7 linked regions of the Macaca mulatta genome follow. The protein of the gene in region 3 interacts with the protein of the main gene of each other region in a pairwise test. Links are inferred from orthologs where the notes say so. Each region holds a gene or a part of one and is shown on either strand. Other genes may lie near its edges.

Region 1 (3,937 bases), on a different chromosome or scaffold from region 3:
ACTCCGGGACTCAAGAAGTCCTCCAGTTTTGGCCTTCCGAAGTGCTGGGGTTACAGGCATGAGCCATGGTGGCAAGCCCTCATCAGTTATTTTTCTATGATTCTGTCTCGCTGTCCCCTCCTTACAAGGAAAGTAATTTTGAAACAACCAATCCAGTCTTGGTTCTTTGTTTCTGCTTTCTTCAGCCCTTCTCTGTCTATAAAATCAACCTCTTCTGCTCAGCTCATGGGAGCACTTATTCTAATTTAATAGAGGTGTTGCCCAATTCTAGAATCACAAATAAAATTAAGAACTTTAACAACAAAAGTTAAAAAATGAGAATCAGCAACAACAACAACAGAAAAGATCTTTAAATGTGTTGTAATTTTCTCCTTTGACAGGTTACAAGTGCAATTGAATAAACCAAACAAAAAATGTCATGGTTAGGTTCGGTCTTTACTTCCCAAATGAGGGTCAAGATGTAAGACAGCAAGAACCAACTTCTACCATAAAAAAGATCCGAATCCAAGAAAATGTGATTTTTCTTTAAAGCTGTTCACCGCAACGAAAGTTTCTTTTTAGTCTAGGAGACTAAAAGCCATCAGCTGACACAATCTCTTTTTTTCTTGAAGTTTCCAAAGGAAGGCAGGTGAGTTTGCACTAACTTCCATTTTCTCCCTGGCTTCCTTCTGGTGTCAGATGAGCGTCCCCGCGCTCCTCCCGGACAGCCCTCATGGTCCCCGGCTATCATATATGGGGGGGTTGGGGGGTGGGGGTGGGGTGGGGGTGGGCGAGATGGCTTTGTACAGGAAAGAGGGGCGGCAGGCACGGGGAGCACGGGCTCCAGCCCCAGGAACACTCAGTCGGCGCAAAGGAGAGGGAGAGAGCGAGTGCGAAAGCCGAAACCCTCCCGGGGCCACGGAGTAAGCCCCCAGTACCGCTCCTCCGGCGCCCCACCCGCAGGCGGACCCCGAAGACGCGCCCGCGCCCGCCCCCGGCGACTCCGGCCCGGGCACGCGCACGAGACGGCGGGGGGAGGGGCGGGAGAAGGTGGGGGAGGGGCGAGCGGGGAGAGGCCCCGCCCCGACCCCTCAGCCCCGCCCCGGCCCCTCAGCCCCGCCCGCCGCGATTATAGCGGATGACTCAGGGCGGAGCTCCGCGTCCAACCCCGGGCCGCGGCCAACTTCTCTGGACTGGACCAGAAGTTTCTAGCCGGCCAGTTGCTACCTCCCTTTATCGCCTCCTTCCCCTCTGGCACCGAGGAGGCTATTTCCAGACACTTCCACCCCTCTCTGGCCACGTCACCCCCGCCTTTAATTCATAAAGGTGCCCGGCGCCGGCTTCCCGGACACGTCGGCGGCAGAGAGGGGCCCACGGCGGCGGCCCGGCCAGAGACTCGGCGCCCGGAGCCCGCGCCCCACACCCGCGCCCCGGCGGGCAGACCCCGACCCAGTATGAGCGCCGCCACCCACTCGCCCATGATGCAGGTGGCGTCCGGCAACGGTGACCGCGACCCCCTGCCCCCCGGCTGGGAGATCAAGATCGACCCGCAGACCGGCTGGCCCTTTTTCGTGGACCACAACAGCCGTACCACGACGTGGAACGACCCGCGCGTGCCCTCTGAGGGCCCCAAGGTGAGCTGGGCCCGCGGCCCGCCCTGGTCGGCGGCGCCACCTCGACGGCAGGCGGCGGGGAGTGGGTTGGGCCGGGGGGACGCCAGGCGGCGGGGCCCGGTGGTCGGCGAAGGCCCCTTGCGGGCGGACACCGGCTCCGCGCCCCGCCACACACTCCCGGTGCTCCCGGACGAGTCCCCGCTCCGGACCCGCCCTTTACAGGAGTCGGGGCGAGAGGAGGCCCCGCGATCCGGTGGTCCGGGAAGCGACCCCGCAGTGGGTCCGGTGCGGTCCACGGCTCGACTCGGGGCGGAGGGCCGCGTGTCCGACGCTGGCCTCACGCTCCCGGGCTCGGAGGGGGCGGCCGGCCTGGTCAGCTCCGGAGGCTCCGGCCCGCCGCGGCCCCTGCTGCCGGCTCGGCCTCCGGTCCCGGGACCCGCGGCGCACCCCGCTGACCGCGGACTCGAGGGGGACCCTCGCAAGCTTGGATGGTGGTTTTTGGGAGGAATTTTACCGCTCAAGTTCTCCAACTTGGTTGAGGGGTATCTTGTTTGCTGTCCCATCTTAGGCACCCAATGACTCAGGAGGCTGGTGTCAAAACATTCATATATATGTGCGCGCGCGTGTGTGTGTATTTTAAATTAAAATTGTATTATTGTTTGAAAGTGCTTTCAATACGAATGTATCCTAGTATGACTTGTAAAATATAAAAGAGGGTGCACTTCTCCCCAGCAGTTTCTAAACTAGAGATCTGAGACTTACAGTTGGCCATTGCCTTACCACATTGCCTCACACTGGAAAGAGAATGATACGTGTATATTTATAATGGCATTCGCTTCCTGCCTTGTTATGGTATTAAAATACTTAGAATTTGTTACCAGTACACAAATAACAGAGTAATGATACTCTTGGGAATACAGCAGAAGTATGTCTCATTTACATATATGCAACGATATTCCTAATCCCCAAGAGCATGAAATTTGAAAACGTAAATTTGGAATGAGTCTGTTAATTTTCAAAAATCATAGTTATACTATTCGTTCAATTTTATATAAATTTGAGCTTTCAAAATAAAAAGTTTTTTTAAAAAAATATGTTATACTTAAAGCGTAATTGTTACTGCCGTCTGGGCAAGATAAAAGCAGCAAAGAGCTGGTAAATTATTTTGAAGATTTTAAAACTCACCAAATTAAAAATACTTTGTAACCCATTATTTTAGAAGAAAGACCTGTATTATTTCCCTTCATTTTAATGCACTTTTTGTTTTAACAATATTGATAAAACTCCGGTGCCCAACAGTGAGACACTGTACAGGCAGCAGTTTACATTTACGAGAGATTACTTGTGTATTTATTCTTGAAAATTAATACAAGAGGCTGTAATTAGCTGGGGTGGGCACAGTTGCATATACCTTTTTGTGTGTGTGTTCAGCCCATTTTTGGGTGAAACTGACACTCATTTCAAACCACCTTTCTTAGGCGTCTGCGTGGATGTACCTGATCTTTAGTGTGGTTTGCAACTATTATTTTGAGGCCTTCTTCCTGTGGACATAGGGACAGTGGTATCTGCTGGCAGCCTTTGTTGTGAGTGAAGATCAAGTTTGAACATAGACATTCCCAGCACTTTGTTCTCAGCATGAAACTTACCCAGCAAGTTGAGATATTCCTGTACCCACCTGGTGCATGGGTTAGGCTGTGGTTTCATAAACCTTATTAAAAGAAAAAAAGCAGGTTTAGCTGCCATTATTCTTCTCAATAAATAAAAAGTAAGAACTATTACATCAGAAGTCTGATGCTGGAAAGGTTTCTTTGAAAATTTCATAGTCAAAATTTTTAAGTTGAAAGGTCCTTGAAGATCTCTTAGTTAGAAGATCTCTTATTTTCTGAAAAACCCAGAGAATTCAGGTGTGACTTTGAAGGTCATCCAGCTAGTACCAATTACAGGGAGAGAACTAATGTCAGGAAAGTTCTAGTAAGAGGTGGTGTGTCTGTTAGAAGTTGGAAGTGAATGTTTTGTGAAACTGAAGCATGCAGGCTAGAATACCTGATTATCTTTGTGCCCTCCTGGCCACCAAGTTATTGGGTCACTGACCTCTGTGCTGTGGTTGCTTGGATTTTGATGATGGGACATCATCAACTCAAGAAAAGAGTTCTCTTTACGAAGTGAATGACTTGAGACTTGTCAGCATGGCACCAAAACTTAAGGAGAAAACTAACATTCAGCCCATTAGCTGTTTGTGCTTCATTGCTTTCAACCCTGTTCTTAGACACACACAATATCTGGTTGCACTTGTGTGAATTACACCTTGCTGGAGACTAAATGTAGTGGAGAATCCTAGAATATCA
Region 2 (3,500 bases), on a different chromosome or scaffold from region 3:
CGGGATCTCAAGCTCACTAGGTAGGGCTCAGCAGTACCAGGTATCCTCACCGCCCCTCAGGCCTGACCTGGCAGCCTAGGTGTGATAAGTGGGCTTCTTCCACCTGCTTCCTGAGCTCTCACATCTGTTTTGTGCCCATTTCTATTACTTGGGTGCCTGCTTGAATTACCTGCTCAGCCTAGCACTCAAGAATGGGATCAGGTAGGAGGACTGACTGTTTCTGTCTGAAGTCAAGGTCAGGCTGCACTAGGGCATACCCACTCTTATTGCAGCTCTACTGGGGCTGTGACTGGGTCTTCAAGACAGAGGGATCTTCTCTTCCTGGGCTGGGGCTGGCCTCAGGGTGGCCCCACCCCCATGGACCAGGCACATACTAGGTCTCAGGTCTTCCCAGTAAAGTGGAGATCATAGTGTCTTCCTCATCTTCCTCACAGTGTTGTTAGGAGCATTAAATGAGATTCTGTGTGAAAGTGCTTAGCACAGTCTGTAAATTCTCAATGTATGTTAGCAATGACCATTATTTTTACTAATAATGCCACTATTCCACTCATACCTTTTAATTTCCAGCCAAGTATTGAGGTTTGCAATGTCGTACTGGCCAGCAGGTATCATTCTCTACAACTGGCAAGAATCAAACATTTATAAATCAGATAATTAATTTTCACATTATACCCTTGGTTTTTCAAGTTGGAAAACAAAACAAAACAAAAAACAAAGAAACAAAAACCATCCACTGACCAGAGCTTTAAGCAACTTTGTCCCAGGATGAGGGAGCATCTGACCATCAGGGCTGTATTTGGAAGGATCACTTCCTGAGGCCATGCCTTCTTTGTCCCTCTGACTCTCCGGCCCCAGACCTCAGGTCCGCTGAGGCTCTCTGGCTTCCTCCCAGCCAGTCTTCTGCTGACCACCTTGGATTCTCACTTCTCTCTCTCATCTTGGCTGGACAGTTGATGTCTTTCTGCCTTATTTCCTTCTCCCTCATTCATTCTCATGGTCATCACTTAGGGCTTTCTAAGAATTTGAATCCCTTACTGAGTGTTCATTATGGGCTAAGCACTTTATGTATTTTGGGGGCAGATTGAACAAGCATGACAACTGAGGTCTGCCAGGCAGTGACTGAAGGCCTTGAATGGGATCACAGTCCCTTATTGGATGTATTATCTATTGCTCCATGACAAACTACCCCACAATGTAGCATCTTAAAACAATAATAAATATTTATTGTCTCATATGGTTTCTTTGAGTCAGAGAGTTAGGAACAGCTTAACTGGATGGCTCTGGCTTGGTGGCTGTCATGATATTGCAATCAAGATGTTGCAATATTGTTGAGACTACTGGGGCTGCAGTCTCATCTGAAGGCTTGACTGGTGCTGCAGGATCCACTTCCAAGGTGGCTCACTCACATGGCTGGCAAGTTAGTGCTGGCTGTTGGCAGGAGGCCTCAGTTTCTCACCTCTCCTTGAGGCTTAGGACCTCTCCTTGAGGCTTCTAGAGCGTCCTCACAACATAGTGGCTGCCTCCTTCTAGAGTAATTGATCCAAGACAATGTAAAGTAGAAGCAGCAATGCCTTTTATGCCCTAGCCTCAGAAATCACACATCGTCACTCACTTCACAATATCCTATTTGTTAGAAGTGAGTCACTCAATCTGGCCCACATTCAAGGTGAGAACAGTCGGGCTCCATCTTCTAAAGGAAGCTGTATCAAAGAATTTGTAGACATGTTTAAAAATCACCATATTGAACCTCAGAGACCCCTTCTTCAGGGCTCAGTGCACAGTAGGGGCTCAGTAAATGCTGTTGCTTTAACCACATGGATGCCAAGACCAACCACATGGGAGAAGAATTCAGCTCTCTACCTTTCTTTCTAGGTCCATATTTCAGACTTAATAATCCTCTGCAATGTGACTGGTATTTCCATCTCATTCTATTCCATTCTATTGGCCCCAAGGATGCTGTGGGGCTTGGGTGGGGGTAAGGGCTAGCCTACCTTCAATGTGGGACTGATCCCCTAGGGAATGCTTACTTCTTTCCTCTTCTCCAGCTGCACATAGCTGGAGCCAATGGATACCTGAGGGCAGCTGAGCTCCTCCTGGATCATGGAGTACGTGTGGATGTGAAGGACTGGGATGGCTGGGAGCCCCTGCACGCAGCTGCCTTCTGGGGACAGGTAGTTCTCACCCACAGGGCTGTGGGGGAAGCCGGCACAGGGCTAACCTGCTAACATCAAGTTTTTTGGGCTGGCAATTGGTTTCAAAGAACATAAGACTTTAAGGCTTAAGGTGTTGACTATAGCTCATATGTGGGATATGAAAAGGCCTAGGGAGTTTGCAAAAACATTGGACAAATTGTGTTCTTTTTTTAAATTATTATTATTATTCTTTTTTTAAATTTTTTGAGCAAGAGTCTTGCTCTGTTGCCCAGGCTGGTGGAGTGCAGTGGCGCAATCTCAGTTCACTGCAACCTCCGTTTCCTGGGTTCAAGCAATTCTCCTGCCTCAGCCTCCTGAGTAACTGGGATTACAGGCGTGTGCCACCATGCCCAGCTAATTTTTTTGTATTTTTAGTAGAGACGGGGTTTCACCATGTTGGTCAGGCTGGTCTCAAACTCCTGACCTCAGGTGATCTGCCCGCCTCAACCTCCCAAAGTGCTGGGATTACAGGCGTGAGCCACCGTGCCCGGCTGACAAGTTGTGTTCTAATAGGATGGTAATCAGATTTGCCAAATAAGAAAATTTCCAGCATTTTTGCCCCCAGTAGTTTCTCCATTTGTTTCCAGACACAAAACTCTGATTGTCACTTATACCTAGTCCCTCCTTAGATACCTGCCAGCTCTAGAGTTACAGCCAACTCTTTCTTCTCCCTCTTCTTGGTGTGGCCCAGGCATTGCATCTGTCTGGATTCCCCCCATGGCTCTAGCATGCAGGCCTTCCCTGGAAATCAACTTTGTCCCACCATTCTTTGGGTCACATCCTAAGAGGTCTTGGACACTCTCTCCACCTCCTAGGCTTTCTGAGCTCTGGGCAGGGGGACACTGAGCTTCTTCCTGTGTTTCAGATGCAGATGGCAGAGCTATTGGTGTCCCATGGAGCTAGTCTCAGTGCAAGGACATCCATGGATGAGATGCCAATAGGTGAGTCCAGCACAACAGCTGGTGTGCACAAATAGACAGTTATCAATTTTTTGATGGGTAGAGGGAGAAATAGATAAATATATGGTTGTATAGACTGATGGATTGGTGTATAGATAGACAGATGGATTAATTAATGGATGGTAGATGAATGGACAGATGGACAGATGAAGGGATAGATGGATAAATGGATGAATGGATGGATGAGAGGGGTACATGGGTAGATATTATGAGGTATGGTTGACTGGATGGGTGGGTGGGTGGATGGATGGATGAATAGATAGAAGAATAAGTGGATGAGTGGGTAAAGGATGAATCTGAATAGATGGCTCTTTCAGCAGTGGGTAGATAGCTGGATGAAGGGGTTAAG
Region 3 (4,080 bases):
ACTTGCAGCCTCAGCTTTCACACTCCAGCCCTTAAGTTCACTAAGAAGGTCTGAGTTTCTGCTGCAGATGGTGGTGTTAACTGCTCCAACTCTTGTCCTGTCTTGCTTAGTTCCTACGGATATTTTTGTTTCTTGTCATTTGAAGGATTAAGAAACAAAAACAATCCAGAAATTGATCGGTTTTTTTAGACCAGTTCCATCCCTTCTGGATAACCAGATGTTAAATCGTGAGATCAGAGATGCTGTTCATCAGTCCCAACAAGATGGCCTACAGATCGCATTCTCACCTCGCCTTGCTGCTGCTTTAATTCCAACTTCTATTTCTTCCCTTATAGTTTTCTATGGGAATGAGGCGGATACAGGAAACACCCTGTCTCCTCTGTATTTTTGTAGCGGAATTTTCTATTTAAGGGGCTCATTAAAGCATAGTATTTATACACATTACTGGCATTGTTTCTTGTGTTTGAATAAAGGATTCTCCTAGGTAGGAAAGTGGTGGGTAAAAGGTGGGTATGATCCAAGAGAGGAAGGCATCTACTGTATTATTGCTAAGGAAATAGGGGAACTGGATTTGGTGAGACTCTGCAGAATTCAAGTGCAGTTTGGGGAAAGGATTCTGTGTGTGTCTCCCATTTAGAGGCAGATGGGGCCAGATTGTTCTAGAGATCCAGACTGAAGTCTCTGAGCTCCGATCCTATCCACCCCTCACCTGTGGTCACACACCACCTTGGAGCAGCCCTCACCCTCCCCATGCAATTACGACGAGATGAGCGCAGACGTCACTCCAGCTCAGACATTTCGCAGTCTCCTCCCCGAGGGAAAACCAAATACCTCCAGCCCAAATCAGGGCTGTTGAGGCCAAATCTGCAAGAAGGTTGCAGGCGAGATGGAGGGTTCCCTCTGCGCCTGAAAGCAGCCAAGTCCTCGGGTTGGGGGGACTCTTCAGCACATCCTTCTCTGGACAACAAAACATCATCACTGGCTACAAAATACATGAAAACTGAAGTTTTTGTTCTTTTAGCTTTCGAATTTACATTTTTGGGAGCAGTGTGATTCTTTCAAGTCTAGCAGTGCATTAAGACGGTCTGAGCGTTTCCGTTCCGCCCTCCTCGCTAAGACCACTAGCAGCAGCACCTCTGCGCGGGTGCCGAGGACTCCACCGCCCAACCCGAGTTAAGTCTTGGAGGCTCCTAAAATGGCTGCAGCCGCTTCCAGGCCCCTCCTCTTCCGCGGCTCCGCCCAGCGCTACGTCCTCCTTCGCCCCGGAAGTGGAAGTCGTGCTGAGGTCAGAAGGCGGAACCGCTGCTGGGAGACGGCGGGAGCTCTTTCGCCATGGCTGCCGGGCCGATCTCCGAGCGGAACCAGGGTAACTGGAGGGGGAAAGTCTGGAATGGGCTCAGCGTGGCTAGGAGGCCCCTACTACAGCCAGAAGTGCCTCTGCAGGGGTGGGAGACTGGACTCATCCATTCCCCAGAGGGCGCGAGACCGGCCCCGTGCCTCCTGGGGGCGGGGTGGCCAGGTGCTGGCTGAGGCCTGTGGGTGTGATACTTACGTCCAATCCCCTGCTGAGTTCTCACTCAAAAAAACAAAAAAATCCACTCAGAATACTAAATTAGACTTCAGAGGATTCCTGAAGTCCTGGAGAGAGAAGTTTAAGGGTTTAACTTTTTTTTTTTGCTCCTGTCCCCTACCCGCGTCCCCAGTTCCCCCGGTTGGGTTCCATCTTCATGTTTCCATCACCTCCTTCTTTCATGTTATACTCTCACCCTTGCTCTAACTTTCTGCTCCCTCCCTTCAGATGCCACTGTGTACGTGGGGGGCCTGGATGAGAAGGTTAGTGAACCACTGCTGTGGGAACTGTTTCTCCAGGCTGGACCAGTAGTCAACACCCACATGCCAAAGGATAGAGTCACTGGCCAGCACCAAGGTGAGTACATGACAAGGGGCAATTTGCTTCCGGAGGGTCCCGGCAGTATTCACAACTGTTTTGGAATAACATGAGCAACCTAAAGTATTTCTTTCTTTTAAGCCTCTGTTCAGTTTATTTCTGGAACCATTCTTAAGTGAGATTGTTTCTTTCTTGTTCTTTGTGATTAGAGGGTAGATGAGTTTTACCCCATTTTCAATCTCTTATGTTGTTAACCTCCTCTTCTCCACTTCTCCAGGCTATGGCTTTGTGGAATTCTTGAGTGAGGAAGATGCTGACTATGCCATTAAGATCATGAACATGATCAAACTCTATGGGAAGCCAATACGGGTGAACAAAGCATCAGCCCACAACAAAAACCTGGATGTAGGGGCCAACATTTTCATTGGGAACCTGGACCCTGAGATTGATGAGAAGTTGCTTTATGATACTTTCAGCGCTTTTGGGGTCATCTTACAAACCCCCAAGATTATGCGGGACCCTGACACAGGCAACTCCAAAGGTTATGCCTTTATTAATTTTGCTTCATTTGATGCTTCGGATGCAGCAATTGAAGCCATGAATGGGCAGTACCTCTGTAACCGCCCTATCACCGTATCTTATGCCTTCAAGAAGGACTCCAAGGGTGAGCGCCATGGCTCAGCAGCCGAACGACTTCTGGCAGCTCAGAACCCGCTCTCCCAGGCTGACCGCCCTCATCAGCTGTTTGCAGATGCACCTCCTCCACCCTCTGCCCCCAATCCTGTGGTATCATCATTGGGGTCTGGGCTTCCTCCACCAGGTAAAGCTTTTGGTTAAAATTTGTTTGTCTTAAGGTTGGGGGAGAGAGTCAGGAGGAAGAAAAAAAGAGCCTGAAAGGGGGATGGGACATGGAGTCAGTGAGTGATGGGAAGAGGACTGAGGGGTGATGGTAGTGGTGGAGAAGAAAGTTGTTGGGTTTCTTTAGGAGGGTGAAGTTGGTTGACTTTTCTAACATTGCTTTTGATTTTAGAGCACTGGGAGGAGGGGGAAAGAGCTCACCCTGCCCAGAGAGGCCAGATCAGGACAGGCTCTTTAAAGACATTTTCTCCTCACTACCATTAACTTTTCCTTTTTCCATTTCCTCTATAGGCATGCCTCCTCCTGGCTCCTTCCCACCCCCAGTGCCACCTCCTGGAGCCCTCCCACCTGGGATACCCCCAGCCATGCCCCCACCACCTATGCCTCCTGGAGCTGCAGGACATGGCCCCCCATCGGCAGGAACCCCAGGGGCAGGACATCCTGGTCATGGACACTCACATCCTCACCCATTCCCACCAGGTGGGATGCCCCATCCAGGTAGGTGTGCTTTGTTGGGAGGGAAGAGCTTGGTAGAGCATCTCTGTTACCTCTCACCCTGCTGCCCTTTGTTCCTCAACAGTAACAGTTTCAGAGTTTCCTTTCCTTCAGACATTCTATTATAAAAACATACAAAATACTCTCTAACATCCACCTCCCTGTATCCATTTCTTAAGTTTTTCTGACAAGAAGACTATACTTGCTGGTTTTTATTTCTTTAACCTTTAGTTCCATTCTCTTCTCTGACTCCAGCTCAAAGTGGTGACCTAATTGCCAAATCTCAGGGACACTTCTCCTCCTTATCTAGTTTGACCTCTGATGTACTTGAAACTAGTCGTGTCCTCCTGTTTGAAATTCTCGTCTCTTTTTGCTTTTGCTTTTCTAGATCCTCCACCCCTCTGACTCCTTAATCTCAGCTACCATGATAGACTCTTGTCTACTTGTGCCTAGATTTTTGTGCTTGTTTCTCTTTTCTGCATATATCTATAGTTTTAATTGAGCATATACTGATGCCTCCTAGATCTGTATCTCTAGTCCATAGCTGTTGACATTCCGGATCCTTAATGCTTTAATGCTGCTGCTTAATAGATAGCGTCATTTTTCTGTCCCTCTCCTTCAAACCCATTCTTTCTCTAGCAGTCTTTTTTTTCAGGTGCTTAATTCATGAATCTGAGAGTGATGTTTGACTGCTCCCTATCACCCCACTCTTAATACCAAGTCTTATTTAATATCAGTGGCATCTCTCCCCATGGCCAGTGCCCTAGTTCAGTCTCTCATTCCCTCATTATTTAACACTTAATTTATTGTAGTAATCTCCTTCCACTTGGACTCCAGTT
Region 4 (2,206 bases), on a different chromosome or scaffold from region 3:
GTATTTATATTGAATCTCAAAAGGCATTCACATCTCACATCCTCTGTGATAGGCTCCTAATTCATATTTATCAAGGTCCTAAATAAGTATCTAATTACTCTGCTGTGGGATGTTGTATATTTCTTCAGATCCGGGCTCGAAATCCAGCATTTCAGCCACAAACTTTGATGGACTTTGGCTCGGGTACTGGTTCTGTCACCTGGTGAGTAACTTTTTTCAGCCCTGTCTTGGTCAATTTTAGCTCTAGAAAGCCATACTTACACCACTCAAAAATTAAGAGACTGGAAAACCAGAGGGAGAATAGGCAAGTTGGGAATCTATAATGTTTCTTCCATCAGATTGGGCAAGGCAGAAGAAGGTATATGGATTGGGGCCAGAACTTAAAGAAATGTCAAGTGAAAAAAAGGCGCATGTGTAGAAAAATTAAAAAGAAAAGGAATTATCAATCAAAGTTTTTTTGCCTACAAATAGTATTTTGAGTCTACCTTTATTTTTCTCTTTTTGGAGATGGTGTCTCGCTCTGTCACCCAGGCTGGAGTGCAGTGACACGATCTCGGCTCACTGCAGCCTCCACTCCCGGGTTCAAGTGATTCTCCTGCCTCCGCCTCCCAAAGTGCTGGGATTACAAGCATGAGCCCCTGCACCCAGCTGAGTCTACCTTTTTTTAAAAACAATTGTAAATAAAACAAGAAAATAACACTATTAGTTATTTTATTACTAACTAGACAACTATTTTAACATAACACTCTCTTTTCCCAGGGGTGGGGTTGGGTGTAAATGGGTCTCTTGTAGAGATGACTCTTGGTCATGGGAATTGGTGATTTATAATAATTTTGCCATCTTAGGGCTGCTAACAGTATTTGGGGCCAGAGCCTACGTGAATATATGTGTGTGGACAAATCAACTGCCATGCTGGCTTTGGCAGAAAAACTACTGAAAGGTGAGTACAAGAGCATTTCCAAAGTTGAGGGAGTTCAGAAAGCAAAGGGGTACTAGTAAAAGTGTTTTACTGGGAAGTAGAGAAGAGGGTAAAAATTAAGATGAATCTGGTTTACTTTTAAAGTTATGGTCAAGCAAAGGGTGGTATTAGAGGTTTCTGCTGGACTGAGGATGGGTTGGGTAAGATTCAAAGGACAAGAGGCCTAATATTCTCCCTGCCGTTTTTTTGTTTTGTTTTGTTTTTTGTTTGTTTTTAATTAGAACCTGTTACCCAGGCTGGTCTCAAACTCCTGGCCTCAAGCCATCCTCCCACTTCATCCTCTGGGGTAGCTGGGATTACAGGCATGCACCACCATATCTGGCTCATCCCTGCCCTTTTTGATAGACACTTTCCCTATCCTTGGGGCCATGTTTCTTATCTGGATATCTCTTCAGTTTATACCTAACTTCCTACACACTCAAAGTTGCCTCTTCTTTTCTCCACAGGTGGTTCAGAATCTGGGGAGCCTTATATTCCAGGTGTCTTTTTCAGACAGTTTCTACCTGTATCACCCAAGGCAAGTGGCAGTGTTTAGAATATTCTAAATGTGGAATGTGGCAGATGGAAAACTATGGCTTGAGCTTTGCAGCCCAGCACTGAGTGTCAGAAGATAAAAGAAATTTATCAGCTAGGACTTTATTATATTCTTGGGATGCAGAGATGTTGAGTGTGTCATGTTCTTTGTCTTGGTCCTCAGGTGCAGTTTGATGTAGTAGTATCAGCCTTTTCCTTAAGTGAACTGCCCAGCAGGGCTGACCGCACTGAGGTGGTTCAAACCTTATGGCGTAAGACAGGTCATTTCCTGGTGAGTTAAAATTCCTTGTTCTCCTTAAGTCTTAAAGCAGCTTCATGGATTTCATGCCTTTGCTTCTCTCGTTGTCTTCATTCTTCACCATTTTTCTCCTTTATGGGTTTCTTTATCCCTCTTTGAGGGTCTCCATCCTGATATATAATGCGTATTTCTTTTTAGGACCCCTTTTCCATCTATAATGCTTTTACAGAGCTACTGACATTTACACTTTCATGTAATTTAAGTCTTCATATTTTTCCCTTTTGTGAATAGGTACTGGTGGAGAATGGAACAAAAGCTGGGCACAGACTTCTCATGGAAGCCAGGGATCTGGTCCTTAAGGTAAGGCTTCTTCCCTCACTCCCCCACGCATATGTCACTAATTACTGTTATTCTTTTGAAAACTAAAGAGACTGTCATATATTGACAAGGGTGAC
Region 5 (3,500 bases), on a different chromosome or scaffold from region 3:
CATTCTCAAAAAAAGAGAAAAGAAAAATGCAGATGAAATCAGCTTTGAGATAATTATTTTACAGTTATTGCGGTAGGAGAAATTTTAATGAAAGAGCTGCTAGTGTCGGCAAGGTGACAGTGAAGCAGGGGTAGGGGACGTGGTGCAAGACAGGGAGGAGGGCCCTCACCCTTGGGGATCCTGCAAACTGCATGGGACCTTGGTGAGCATTTTGGTGTTTGATCCTGAGACTGAGGGGGAACCACTGAAGGGACTGAGATGGGTTTGAGTGGCTTTGCCTTAGAGAGCACTCATATTTGGGATTTGGGATGTAGAGACTGAACTGGGGAGGTCCAGGTAGAAGTGAGGAGACCAGCCAGGCCACAACCAAGGTGCTCATGAGAGAAGCCAGCGGCATGGACCGGAGAGTGACATAGGACCAGAGAGAGGCGGGTTGCACTTCAGAGATGTGGAGTAGATATTTAGGAATCCCTGTTCAGGGGCAGGCCTGAGGGCTTCCAAAGAATAGAGTAGAGGGAGGGAAAATGAAAGTTTACAGGGGAGAAACCTGGCAGACACTGCCTTAACCAGATGACCAAGGTTAACATCACCAGAGCTAAGTCATGGTGGTAGCATGTACTTCCTTATCTGATAGGATCAGAAGGGCACCTCACTTCTGTTGTATGCTCCTCCAAAACAACGAAACCCTATAACCATGAGAACACATCACCTGGGCCTCTTGCGCCTTTTAGAAAGGGCAACCTTCTGATCCCTCCCCATCCTTCTTCCTCCACTAGTGGTGGTCGTGGTGACAGGACTGGGCGCTATGGAGCCACTGACCGCTCGCAGGATGATGGTGGGGAGAACCGCAGCCGAGACCACGACTACCGGGACATGGACTACCGTTCATATCCCCGCGAGTACGGCAGCCAGGAGGGCAAGCACGACTATGACGACTCATCTGAGGAGCAGAGTGCGGAGGTGAGGAGGGGCGAGCTGCGCCAGGCCTGACTGGGATGGGCTCCCGAGGGCCCTCTGTGTCTGGCTGCAGCACCGTGTGCAGGCGGCTCTCCACTCCCATGCCTTCAGACTGTGCTCGGTGGCTTTGCCTCACCTGGAGGGCCTGTTCCCACTCCCCTCTCTGAGGGCTCCTCTCCCAACCTGGGTCTCCCTGGCTTCCACATGCTTGGCTCTGTACTTCTGAGGGCCCCTGGCCACCACTCTTTCCTTCTCCCTGTTGTTCAGTTCGGGCCCATGGCTCACTGTGAACCCTATACTGCCCACTCCCAGCCAACTTGAGCACTTGAAGAGCCTCTTCCGTGGGACCCGGCGTCTGGGGTTGGGAGGACAACCAGGGGAATGCAGACTACCAAGCTGAGGAGCTCTGGGAGGCCAGCCATGGACATTCCCAGTGGTGACAGAGCCCCTAGACAGAAGGGAAGGATACTTCTGGAAAAGCCAGTGCCATGTTGGGTAGTTCACCCTAGCCTAAGGGATGAGGCATGATGTTTACACCATCAGGAGCCCCTACCCGAGGGGAACAAACAGGCTTGCCTTAGGGGAATCCCAGTTGGAGGGGCAGTCAGGGCCCTGGTCCACACGAGCAGGCAGCTCTCCTGTCCAGCAGGCTGGGAAGGGTGTTCTTGCAAGCCCAGCCCTAGGGGGCAGGCTGTGAGCTGCCCACTGCCCTCTGGAGGGTCCAGGGCGAAAACTCCTTTGGTGGACTGCCTGGCTTCTCCAGTGGCAGCTGTCAAGCTGTGCCCAGACGTCTCCAGGAGCACTGGGCCCTGGCCAGGGTAAGAATGGAGCACCAAGTTATCTGGCGCTTCCCCACTGTGGGTAGGAGGGCTTTGGCCCGAGGCCTGGTCTGCTTAGTCCTGGAATAGATGAATGGGCAACAACCCAGAGCCCAACAGCCATACCATTTTGAGCGTGGTGTGTGGTGGAGGACTGGCCAAGGCTGAGGATCAGGGACTGAGGAGGAAGTGTCTGCAGCCCTCACACCACCTCTACCAGCTCTTGCTGGCTGGCTCTGGCTGAGATCTGAAGCTGTTCTTATGCCCCTAGCTTAGTTGCAGGGTGGAACCATAGGAGACACACAGCCTTCGGTGGTACAGTGAGCAATTGAGCACACCCCCTGAGCTGGCCAGAGAGGAGGGGGAAATCAAGGGTGGGGTCTGGTGTGCTGACCCCAGGCCGTCTTGCCTCAAGGAGGTTTAAGCTGTGTTTTGTCAGCTACCTTTGAGAGATCCCCCCCAACACCAATACTGCCACCTACCTCTCCCCACCCCCTGAAGGCAGTCCCCAAAAGGACCCCATGGAGAATTTCCAGCCCCAGAAGGATTGCAGGCCAGGGCCTGCCCACCCTGCCTGCCTGAGCCTTTAGCCGGAGCCCGCACATCCCTGGCTTTCAGAGCCTGCCCGCCTCACAGAGCCAGCGGCCAGCTCCTAGGCCTGCCCAGACTGACTGCCCGTCTGGTGTCACTCATCTCATTCTGTCGGCCAGGATTCCTACGAGGCCTCCCCGGGCTCCGAGACTCAGCGTAGGCGGCGGCGGCGGCACAGGCACAGCCCCACCGGCCCGCCGGGCTTCCCCCGAGACGGCGACTATCGGGACCAGGACTATCGGACCGAGCAAGGGGAGGAGGATGAGGAGGAGGAGGATGAGGAGGAGGAGGAGAAGGCCAGTAACATCGTCATGCTGAGGATGCTGCCACAGGCAGCCACTGAGGATGACGTACGTGCCCCCCATGGCCCCGGGCAGGAGGCCAGGCTGGGTCTCCTCCAGGGCCCTCAACTTTTCCCCACCCCTCCCTCACCCGCAACCTCAGTGCCTTTCATCCCTTCTCCCCCTCCAGCTACTATCCCCCAGCACTGATCCGTCCTCTGTGGGCAGGTCCCATTGGCCCCCCGGTCTGGAGGGAGGAGTGTCAGAGAGGCCGGCTTGGCCAAGGGGCAGCGGCTGTGGGTATCCGGCAGTGGTGGGTTTGGGCGGGAGAAGAGCAGTCCTGCACATTCCACTGGTCGTCCAGCCATTTTGCATGTGTGCATCAAGGGCCAGATACTCACCGGGCCAGTGCTGGCTATTGCTGGTAGCAGAGATGACACTGGGGCCCTGCAACCATTGGGGGAGGGGTGGGATTTTCTGAAATTTCCTTCTCCTTTTTCCCCATCCTCTTTTGTCAGCAGCCTGGCCTGGCCTCAGAGCCTTGGGTGGCTGTTAACAGCCTCCCCGCCTGCCTCCCTTTCCTCGCGTTTCCTTTTCATACATACTTCTCATGACAGCCACACTGAAGCCCCAGGAGGCCTACCAGAATAACTTCCAAGAATAGTCTCCCTGATCCTGGTCCTTCTTAGTCCACTCCACCGCCCCTCACCCCCCACCCCCATGAATTCTCTGAAATTCCCTCACCCCCTAGCCCTCCTCTGAAATCTGCTAGCTGCTCATTTTGTAGCAGAGAAAATCCCACTTGTGTATTTGAGGGTTTCTAAGGTCTGGCCCACCTGCCCTGTCCAGGGTC
Region 6 (3,500 bases), on a different chromosome or scaffold from region 3:
AGTCAGAAAACTGAATAGCATTTGAAGGCTGTTAATAGAAAGAATAGAAGTTACGGGTAGTTTCATTATATTTGCTAATTTAGCAAGTTTGTCTTTAGTTGCTTTATTCTTATAATCAAATTTTAATAGGATCTTTAAATTTAAAAAACATTACATCTGCTGTATAACTGATGGGCATTCTCATACAATGCCGCATGGACTATTGATACTTCGTCATCTTTTAACATTGTCTAGATGAAAACTTTATTTGAAATTTTCTTCTCTTGGTTACTTTTTAAAAAATACTAAAATAAACATTGGGTATTTTTCATTCTTTCCCCAAATGATTATGTTCATTTTATAGTATAGAGAGGAATGAAAATCCAGGAGATTTAAGGCAATCCACAGTATTATGTGGAAATGTTAATCATTTTAATGCTTTTTTTTGTTATTAAATAAAAACGTTCAGCATTCTTCACAATAATTTCAATAGTTATCTCTAAATCTTTTTATAGAATGAAGACCAGCAAGAAGTAATCCTTGTCAGAACAGATCAGTCTGGAAGAGTATGGCCTGTGAACACACCCGGAAAATCTCTGGAATCACAAGGAGGAAGAAGAAAGAGACAGATGGTATGTTTAACATATGTCTTTGTTTATTAATTCAGAATTCCTTCTTTCCCTTGGGGCTTTCTTCATATCAGATTACAAAATATTTTCTGAAAAGTAACTTTTGAATGCCAATATTGGAAGGTAGTAAATGATGTTGTTCTTACTTTTATTCTTAGTTATATCTTTTTGCCTTTTACAGAATGGAAAGTAATCCGACTGTGTTTTTTCAAATAGTTGTTAACATTGAATGTTTAAGGCAATTTTAATTTTAGTTTACATTTCTTTGATGTTGTTTTCAGCTGCTTTTGGCATACTTGCTATAGCTCTTAGGGAAAACTTTGGTCTCCCAGAGCTGTTACTAGTATTAGACAGCTAACTTGAGACCTGGTGATGGGGTATCCATACACAATAATGGCTTAATTATGTAGGTGTCATAATCCTTTATAAAGCTAATTTTCTTTTCCATTTTCCAACTCTAGTAATTAGTTTTTAGCACTACCTTGAGGCTCTTGAGATGGCAAAAACAACATATTCAGCTTTCCCAAATTAGGTTTTTTATTTTAAATTTGGAAGATCAGACAAGTGATAATTGCATATACAAAAGAACTGTTCATTCAGAATATTTCTGTCAAATGTTTATTTTTTGCCTGTTCAGTGCCTGTGTTGCTAGAGAGTCTTAATTAATTCATTCAACAGATAGAAGTGGGATAGATATGTCTTCTAATGTAATGGGAGGAATTTGGTGGTTGGAGAGGTGGTACAGGAGGAGAATAGTAAAGGTTTGAATTATATGAAATGGTGGAACTGACTAGGGATCCATAAATGCATTGTCAGAAGGCATCGAGGGCCCTTTTTGAGTTGCATATTACTTAACAATTTAGGTATAGGAGTAAAGAAGGTAGACACTTTCACAAGTAAAGTTTGTTCTTTGAGTATGATGAAAAGACAAGAGGGCCAGAAATTAAGTGTCTGGAGCCAGGGGGTGATTGAAGTCAAGGGATATGAGGTTTAAGCTAGTAAAGACAAGAATAGTAATGTTGGGAAATATAGTTGCACCCCTGTTCCAAAGATCTCAAAGAAGTTAAAGATGAGGTTTTATTTGGATAAGGGAATGTGAGAGCAGCATTAGAAAGATTTGATTTGGGAGGAAATAAATAGTATTTTTCTGTTCTACACCAGGGTATGGAACCAACTGATAGGAACATCTGGGACTGAATTAGATGGAGACCAGAATATCAGCTTTGCTTTTGATAAAGCTGTTTACAGAACAAGGGTTTAATAATTAGAAGTTGGTGTCTTAGTTCGGGCTACTATAACATAGACTGGATGGCTTAAACAACAGAAATTTGTTTCTCACAGTTCTGGAGACTGAGAAGTCCAAGATTAGGGTGCTGGCAGCTTCATTGTCTGATTAGGGCATGCTTCTGGGTTTGTAGACGATAGTCTTCTTGTATAATCAAATGACAGAAAAGAGAGAGAGAGAGAACAAACGCTCATGTCTTTTAATAGAGGTACTGTATTAGTCAGGGTTCCCTAGAGGGACAGAACTAAGAGGATAGATGCATATATGAAGGGGAGTTTATTAAGGAGTGTTGACTCACGTAATCACAAGGTAAAGTCCTACATAGGCCATCTGCAAGCTGAGGAGCAAAGAAGATAGTCCAAGTCCCAAAACCTCAAAAGTAGGGAAGCCAACAGTGCAGCCTTCAGTCTGTGGCCAAAGGCCCAAGAATCCCTGGCAAACCATTGGTGTAAGTCCAAGAGTCCAAAAACTGAAGAACTTTGAGTCTGATGTTTGAGGGCAGGAAGCATCCAGCATGAGAGAAAGATGAAGGCCGGAAGACTCAGCGAGTCAAGTTCTTTCAGCGTCTTCTGGCCACCCTGGCAGCTGATTAGATGGTCACCCACGCTGAGGGTGGGTCTGCCTCTCCACTAACTGCCAGTCCACTAACTCAAATGTTAATCTCCTTTGGCAATACCCTCACAGACACACCCAGGAACAATACTTTGCATCCTTCAGTCCAATCAAGTTGACACTCAGTATTAACCATCACAGGTTCTGATCCCATTTCTGAGTACTTCATGCTCATAGCCCAGTTACTTCCCAAAGACCTTGCGTCTTAATACCTTCTTATTGAGATTTCAACATGTAAATTTTGGGGCAACATAATCATTAAATTCATAGCAGTGGATTTGCTAATACTTCACCTCTGTTTTTGATATACTTACTCCATCTCTGGATAACTTCAGTCTTCCCACCACAGTGGTAAGGAATTTTAACTATAAGGAGAAGAAGAGCAGAAAAGAGAGAAGAAGGGGTAAAGCAGTTTTGCTCTTTCATCAAAACTCATAAAGCAGTTAATATCATGCTTCCATCCCCAGGGAAGAGGAGAGTAAAGAGGCAGAAGTAGGGAGTGTAATTCTAATGGAAGTTTTTTCACAAGGAAGCTGGCAGACTAGGGATAAACTGGAAGGAAAGGTTGTGATTACATAGTGGAATTTTTACATTTAACATCAGATTTTTATGTAATCCATTAAATGCTTCAGAGACTCATGTTTTCATTAAATTAATAATGTTCATTTTGTCATAGATTTCAACCCATGAGGAAAAAGAAAGGGTCAGATACTTTCATGATGATGATAATCTAAGCCTAACTGATTTGGTCAAAAATGAAAAGATGGGAACAGCAGAAAATCAAAACAAGCTCTTTATGAGAATGGCATCTAAGGTAAGATATATTCCTAGGATACCTCTGAATTTTGAGAAGCTGGTTATTCAATGTAACAGGGATCTGCTTTTTGGAGAGATCCGATTCTCTCTAATCTTGGTTCATTTTATTAAATTAAATCCTTTGTAAGACTTATTAGAAACATGCATTTTGGAATTGATCTGGTTGAGAAATAGACATT
Region 7 (3,981 bases), on a different chromosome or scaffold from region 3:
CGATTTCATTCATAACACCCCCGGGGGCTAGAGCGAACACACTATTTGTTGATTAACCCCATTTTACACGTAAGGAAACCAGGCTCACAGAGATGAAGTGACTTGCCAATATCTTTAAGCCAGATTTGAAACGAAGTCTGTCTGAGTCTAGAATCTACGCTCCAAAGCACCTAATTCGCTTTCCTCTCAGAGACGACTCTCTGGCCAGACCACCAGGTAACTACTACCCCACTACCCTTTCTTGCTAGGCATTCCTGCCACGGTCCCTCCTGCTCTAGACACACACACACAGGCCCACTCCTTTCTTCACAAGTCTCTGCAATGGGAAGTTCTCTTTCCAGCACCTGGATCCTAGATAATCTCTAGGCCATTGCCTATCCCAAATCCACACTCGAGTTATCTCCCTCCGGGAAACTCTATCTCTTATGAACAAGTATCCAATGCCAATCCCAAATCTTGTCTCCACTGTTACCTCATTTCTGTCCTCATTCCCTTAGCCCCAAGTCCCATGGTGCCCTCTTTTCGGAAAAACTCCACAAATTCTTACGCCAGAATCCCTTCTACTTACTCCTTAACCTTTCCAGTCCCCCCATTTCCCAGTCCTACTAGAAACCTGCCCTGAGGCCTGGTGCAGTGATTCATGCCTGTAATCCCAGCACTTCAGGAGGCTGAGGTGAGCAGATCACTTGAACCCAGGAGTTCAAGACCAGCCTGGGCAACATAGCGAGACCCCATCTGTATTTTTAAAAAAGAGAAAGAAAGCAAGCTCCTTTTCCTTTTTTGAGACAAAGTTTCACTCTTGTTGCCCAGGCTGGAGTGTAATGGCATAATCTCGGCTGACCACAACCTCCCCCTCCCAGGTTCAAGCGATTCTTCTGCCTCAGCCTCCCAAGTAGCTGGGACTACAGGCGCCCACCACCACGCCCGGCTAATTTTTGTATTTTTAGTAGAGACGGGTGATGGGGTTTCACTATGTTGGCCCGGCTGGTCTTGAACTCCTGACCTTGTGATCCGCCCGCCTCGGCCTCCCAAAGTGCTGGGATTACAGGCGTGAGCCACTGCACCCGGCCCGAAAGTTGCTTTTTTCTAACTGAAGATTCACTCCGTCCTATACCAGGGTTTCCTCTCCTCAGACAACCGCAGATCTACCCGAACCCATTCCCAGAGTCACACCTCCTGGCTGATGCAGAGTTCTGTGCTTCCCGCTGAAGGCCCCCACTCCCTGGGTACACAAATAACTGCTTCTGGGAACCGACCATATCTCTGGGAGACGCTCAGGTCCAGAAACATTCCCCACACTCCACTCTGAGGCCTCCAGTGAAGTCAACAGGTTTTCTTTCTCTTTGCTCCCTACAGCCTCCCCCCTCCCCATATTCGCTAAGCCAGATACATACTCCTTCTGTGCTGGACACAGGATCCTCTGTCTCCTGCCACATATTTCATCCACTTGGAATGTTACCAACTCATCTGCCCCCATCCCACCCGCAGCTACCCCGTTCTCCAAAAAGCCCACAGTTAGCTCTAGACCATTCAGCAGCAGCCTCAGAGTTATTTGTCCTCAGTCTTCTTAGCTCTAGACCCCCAGATCCTTTGTTGAGGGAAAAATCCTCTCCCCCTCCAGCCTCTGGACACCAGGGCTCCCTACACCTCTTCTAGAAGCCAACCAGAAAGTCCCCAGATCTCCCAGCACCAAATGTCCAGGCTGTGCCTGCTTCAAGGGTGGCCTTCCAGCCCCGGAAGAGAGATGGGGGTGCCCCCTCGTTCAATCTCCCGCAGCCCCTAAATGCTCACCAGCCAAACTCCAAAGCACTGAGTCCATTAGACCCTCCCCAGCCACAGACACCAGCGCCTCCACCTCACCCACCCACCCCCGAAGCAAATAGGAGAACTCCCAGGATCGCATCCAGCGGCATACTCCAGGATTCTGCTTCCTCAAAACTCTCGCAGCCCCGCACACCTGGACATTCTTTCCCCACCCTGGAAACACGGCTCCCCACCCCGCAGCCCACACGCTGGGCTGGCCAGGCCGCCAAGCCCAAGGAGCTCCGAACCCCAAGATCTCCATTTTCGAGACCCTCCCAACCCAAATGGAAAACCTCTTGTTCTTCCGACTCTCTTCGGCTCCAGAAACCAGTTTCCGGTCTCCGATCCCTACGGTAAGGAATCCTCCCCGCCACCCCCGTCCCTCACCTCCGAAACCCAGAGGCCCCTCCCCCAGTGTGCCCCCTGCACCGAGCGTCTGGATCCACCCTCCGGTCGTGCCGGGGCCCTTGTCCCCAGATCCTTTTCGGCGGCGGGTAGCGGGATCCCCCGATCCTCAGGTCGTCTCCCCGACCTCAGGCGCTGGACTCCCGCGTCCCACAGCCCTTTCCTCGGCCCAGGCTCCGGGCTCCCCGGCCCCCGCCCCGCGCACTCTCACAATGTCCGTCCGGCCCCGAGTAGCCGCCGGGCTCCGCGTGCGGCTGCAGCCCGGGCGGCGGTGGCTGCGCGGTCCCCTCCAGCTCGGAGCCCCCCTCGGTCTCGACCTCCTCGTTGATGTGCCCGGGTCGCCCCGGTTCGTCGTCGGCCTCGAGCTCCCGCTCGTCGTCAGGCTCCTCGGCCTCCAACGCTGCCTGCAGCCGCTCAGCAAGCTCGGCCTTGAGGCCTCGAGTGTCCAGGCCGCGGCGCTGCAGCTCCTCGCGAAGTTCGTTCACCTTCAGACGGCGCACATCCATGGCCCGGGCCCCCGGGGTGGCCCCCGAGCCCGGCCCGGCCTCCCAGGGCTCTGTCCCCCTTAAACCTTTCCTGTCAGGAGGCGAAGGGGGAAAGGGGGGGGGCCCACTCCAATGGCGGCGGCGGCTCAAAATGGCCGCCGCCACCGCCTCCCCCTTCACCCGTGCCTCGTCCGATGTAATACGAGTGCCAATTGGTCAGTGCATGGGGCAACGGGCGCGGGCCCGGAAACCTAGCCAATCAGAGTGCGGTTTTCAAAACAACGGCAACGAGAAGGCCTACGAGCTACCGGGTAGGAAGCGTTGGCCTACGTCGAAGCCGAGGCCGGAGCGGAGGGCGGGAAAAGGCAGGAGGCGGAGCGTGCGCTGATTGGGTAGCTCTCGCGCGCCGGCTGCAGTAAAGCCCAATGAAAATAAGGGAGTAACCCTTTGGACCAATCAGCGGTGAGATCTCAGAATGAGCGTCCGACGGCCTTTCCTGCGCAGTCCTTTCATCAAACTAAGTGTCTCTGTAACACACATTCCGATTGGTGTATATCTCCCGCCCCTTGAGGAGTCCGAGCGGGTAAAACCACTAGAACCAATCAAATGGAGGGTCGTCAGAAACCCCTCCTTCCTGTTGCCTTTAAGAAACCGGAAAGAGATGAATTCACCAGGGGCCCGCCCCTTGCCGTTAGGGCGGTTTCAAAACAATCTGCCCACCAATCGCAGTTATTGTCTTAGCTCACTAAAGCGTAGAGATGGCTCGTTTTAGGAAAAATGCCCCAGATTGGCCGTGCTTCAGAGGACTGCCTCACAAATTTCGCTGTAGGAGGAGGTATACGAAATAGATATTAAGTGGATATACAGTTCGTAATCTGGAAGGAACCCAGTTGCCTTTAGTAAAAGCAAAATTTTGACTTTAGAGAGTCCCGAAGGTTTGACTATAGAGACTAGACTAACAACGGGAGGCTAGTTGTAAAGGACACGGCCTCCCCTTCCCTTGGGTAGTCCGCGGCGGCCTTGCTCTATGGTCGGTGCCTGACGTGGAACGGGCGCTCTGCACGCGACCATAGAGCCTTCCCCTTACGAAAGACATCCAGAAGTTCACCGACCGCCCTCTCCAATCCTCTAATCGGCTGTTCCCGTAAATCGGGCTGTCTGGCGTCTGTATTGACAAGCTCAAACCCACGGATCCGTCATTAACCTTCGCGCTCATGAATACAAAAGCCACAGAGCTTCCCTGTGTCTAATGCTGCACCACCTGTCGCCTCTAACTCAGAAAACAAAA

Evidence for each region.
Region 1: the proteins of SF3B4 (region 3) and BAG3 interact in binary tests that used the Homo sapiens proteins (3 or more experiments, as listed by UniProt). The two-hybrid records come from large-scale screens. The link is inferred for Macaca mulatta from reciprocal best matches to the Homo sapiens genes SF3B4 and BAG3.
Region 2: the proteins of SF3B4 (region 3) and PPP1R16B interact in binary tests that used the Homo sapiens proteins (3 or more experiments, as listed by UniProt). The two-hybrid records come from large-scale screens. The link is inferred for Macaca mulatta from reciprocal best matches to the Homo sapiens genes SF3B4 and PPP1R16B.
Region 4: the proteins of SF3B4 (region 3) and METTL17 interact in binary tests that used the Homo sapiens proteins (3 or more experiments, as listed by UniProt). The link is inferred for Macaca mulatta from reciprocal best matches to the Homo sapiens genes SF3B4 and METTL17.
Region 5: the proteins of SF3B4 (region 3) and RBM10 interact in binary tests that used the Homo sapiens proteins (3 or more experiments, as listed by UniProt). The link is inferred for Macaca mulatta from reciprocal best matches to the Homo sapiens genes SF3B4 and RBM10.
Region 6: the proteins of SF3B4 (region 3) and CWF19L2 interact in binary tests that used the Homo sapiens proteins (3 or more experiments, as listed by UniProt). The two-hybrid records come from large-scale screens. The link is inferred for Macaca mulatta from reciprocal best matches to the Homo sapiens genes SF3B4 and CWF19L2.
Region 7: the proteins of SF3B4 (region 3) and HNRNPUL1 interact in binary tests that used the Homo sapiens proteins (3 or more experiments, as listed by UniProt). The link is inferred for Macaca mulatta from reciprocal best matches to the Homo sapiens genes SF3B4 and HNRNPUL1.

What each region holds. Positions count from the first base shown.
Region 1 is NC_133414.1:131,748,305-131,752,241, forward strand, and holds the start of BAG3 (BAG family molecular chaperone regulator 3), read left to right. Parts: upstream 1-1,137; 5' UTR 1,138-1,433; coding exon 1,434-1,613; intron 1,614-3,937. UniProt on the Homo sapiens protein: Co-chaperone and adapter protein that connects different classes of molecular chaperones including heat shock proteins 70 (HSP70s), e.g. HSPA1A/HSP70 or HSPA8/HSC70, and small heat shock proteins (sHSPs), e.g. HSPB8.
Region 2 is NC_133415.1:91,774,793-91,778,292, forward strand, and holds part of PPP1R16B (protein phosphatase 1 regulatory inhibitor subunit 16B), read left to right. Parts: intron 1-2,045; coding exon 2,046-2,171; intron 2,172-3,057; coding exon 3,058-3,133; intron 3,134-3,500. UniProt on the Homo sapiens protein: Regulator of protein phosphatase 1 (PP1) that acts as a positive regulator of pulmonary endothelial cell (EC) barrier function. Involved in the regulation of the PI3K/AKT signaling pathway, angiogenesis and endothelial cell proliferation.
Region 3 is NC_133406.1:117,227,288-117,231,367, forward strand, and holds the start of SF3B4 (splicing factor 3B subunit 4), read left to right. Parts: upstream 1-1,280; 5' UTR 1,281-1,332; coding exon 1,333-1,366; intron 1,367-1,798; coding exon 1,799-1,927; intron 1,928-2,165; coding exon 2,166-2,708; intron 2,709-3,037; coding exon 3,038-3,244; intron 3,245-4,080. UniProt on the Homo sapiens protein: Component of the 17S U2 SnRNP complex of the spliceosome, a large ribonucleoprotein complex that removes introns from transcribed pre-mRNAs.
Region 4 is NC_133412.1:93,842,905-93,845,110, forward strand, and holds part of METTL17 (ribosome assembly protein METTL17, mitochondrial), read left to right. Parts: intron 1-128; coding exon 129-202; intron 203-845; coding exon 846-940; intron 941-1,425; coding exon 1,426-1,496; intron 1,497-1,676; coding exon 1,677-1,784; intron 1,785-2,042; coding exon 2,043-2,111; intron 2,112-2,206. UniProt on the Homo sapiens protein: Mitochondrial ribosome (mitoribosome) assembly factor. Binds at the interface of the head and body domains of the mitochondrial small ribosomal subunit (mt-SSU), occluding the mRNA channel and preventing compaction of the head domain towards the body.
Region 5 is NC_133426.1:47,199,478-47,202,977, forward strand, and holds part of RBM10 (RNA-binding protein 10), read left to right. Parts: intron 1-735; exon of another isoform or gene 736-776; coding exon 777-960; intron 961-2,485; coding exon 2,486-2,716; intron 2,717-3,500. UniProt on the Homo sapiens protein: Binds to ssRNA containing the consensus sequence 5'-AGGUAA-3'. May be involved in post-transcriptional processing, most probably in mRNA splicing. Binds to RNA homopolymers, with a preference for poly(G) and poly(U) and little for poly(A).
Region 6 is NC_133419.1:108,239,949-108,243,448, reverse strand, and holds part of CWF19L2 (CWF19-like protein 2), read left to right. Parts: intron 1-494; coding exon 495-611; intron 612-3,181; coding exon 3,182-3,319; intron 3,320-3,500.
Region 7 is NC_133424.1:52,406,491-52,410,471, reverse strand, and holds the start of HNRNPUL1 (heterogeneous nuclear ribonucleoprotein U-like protein 1), read right to left. Parts: upstream 2,801-3,981; 5' UTR 2,715-2,800; coding exon 2,420-2,714; intron 2,246-2,419; exon of another isoform or gene 2,052-2,245; intron 1-2,051.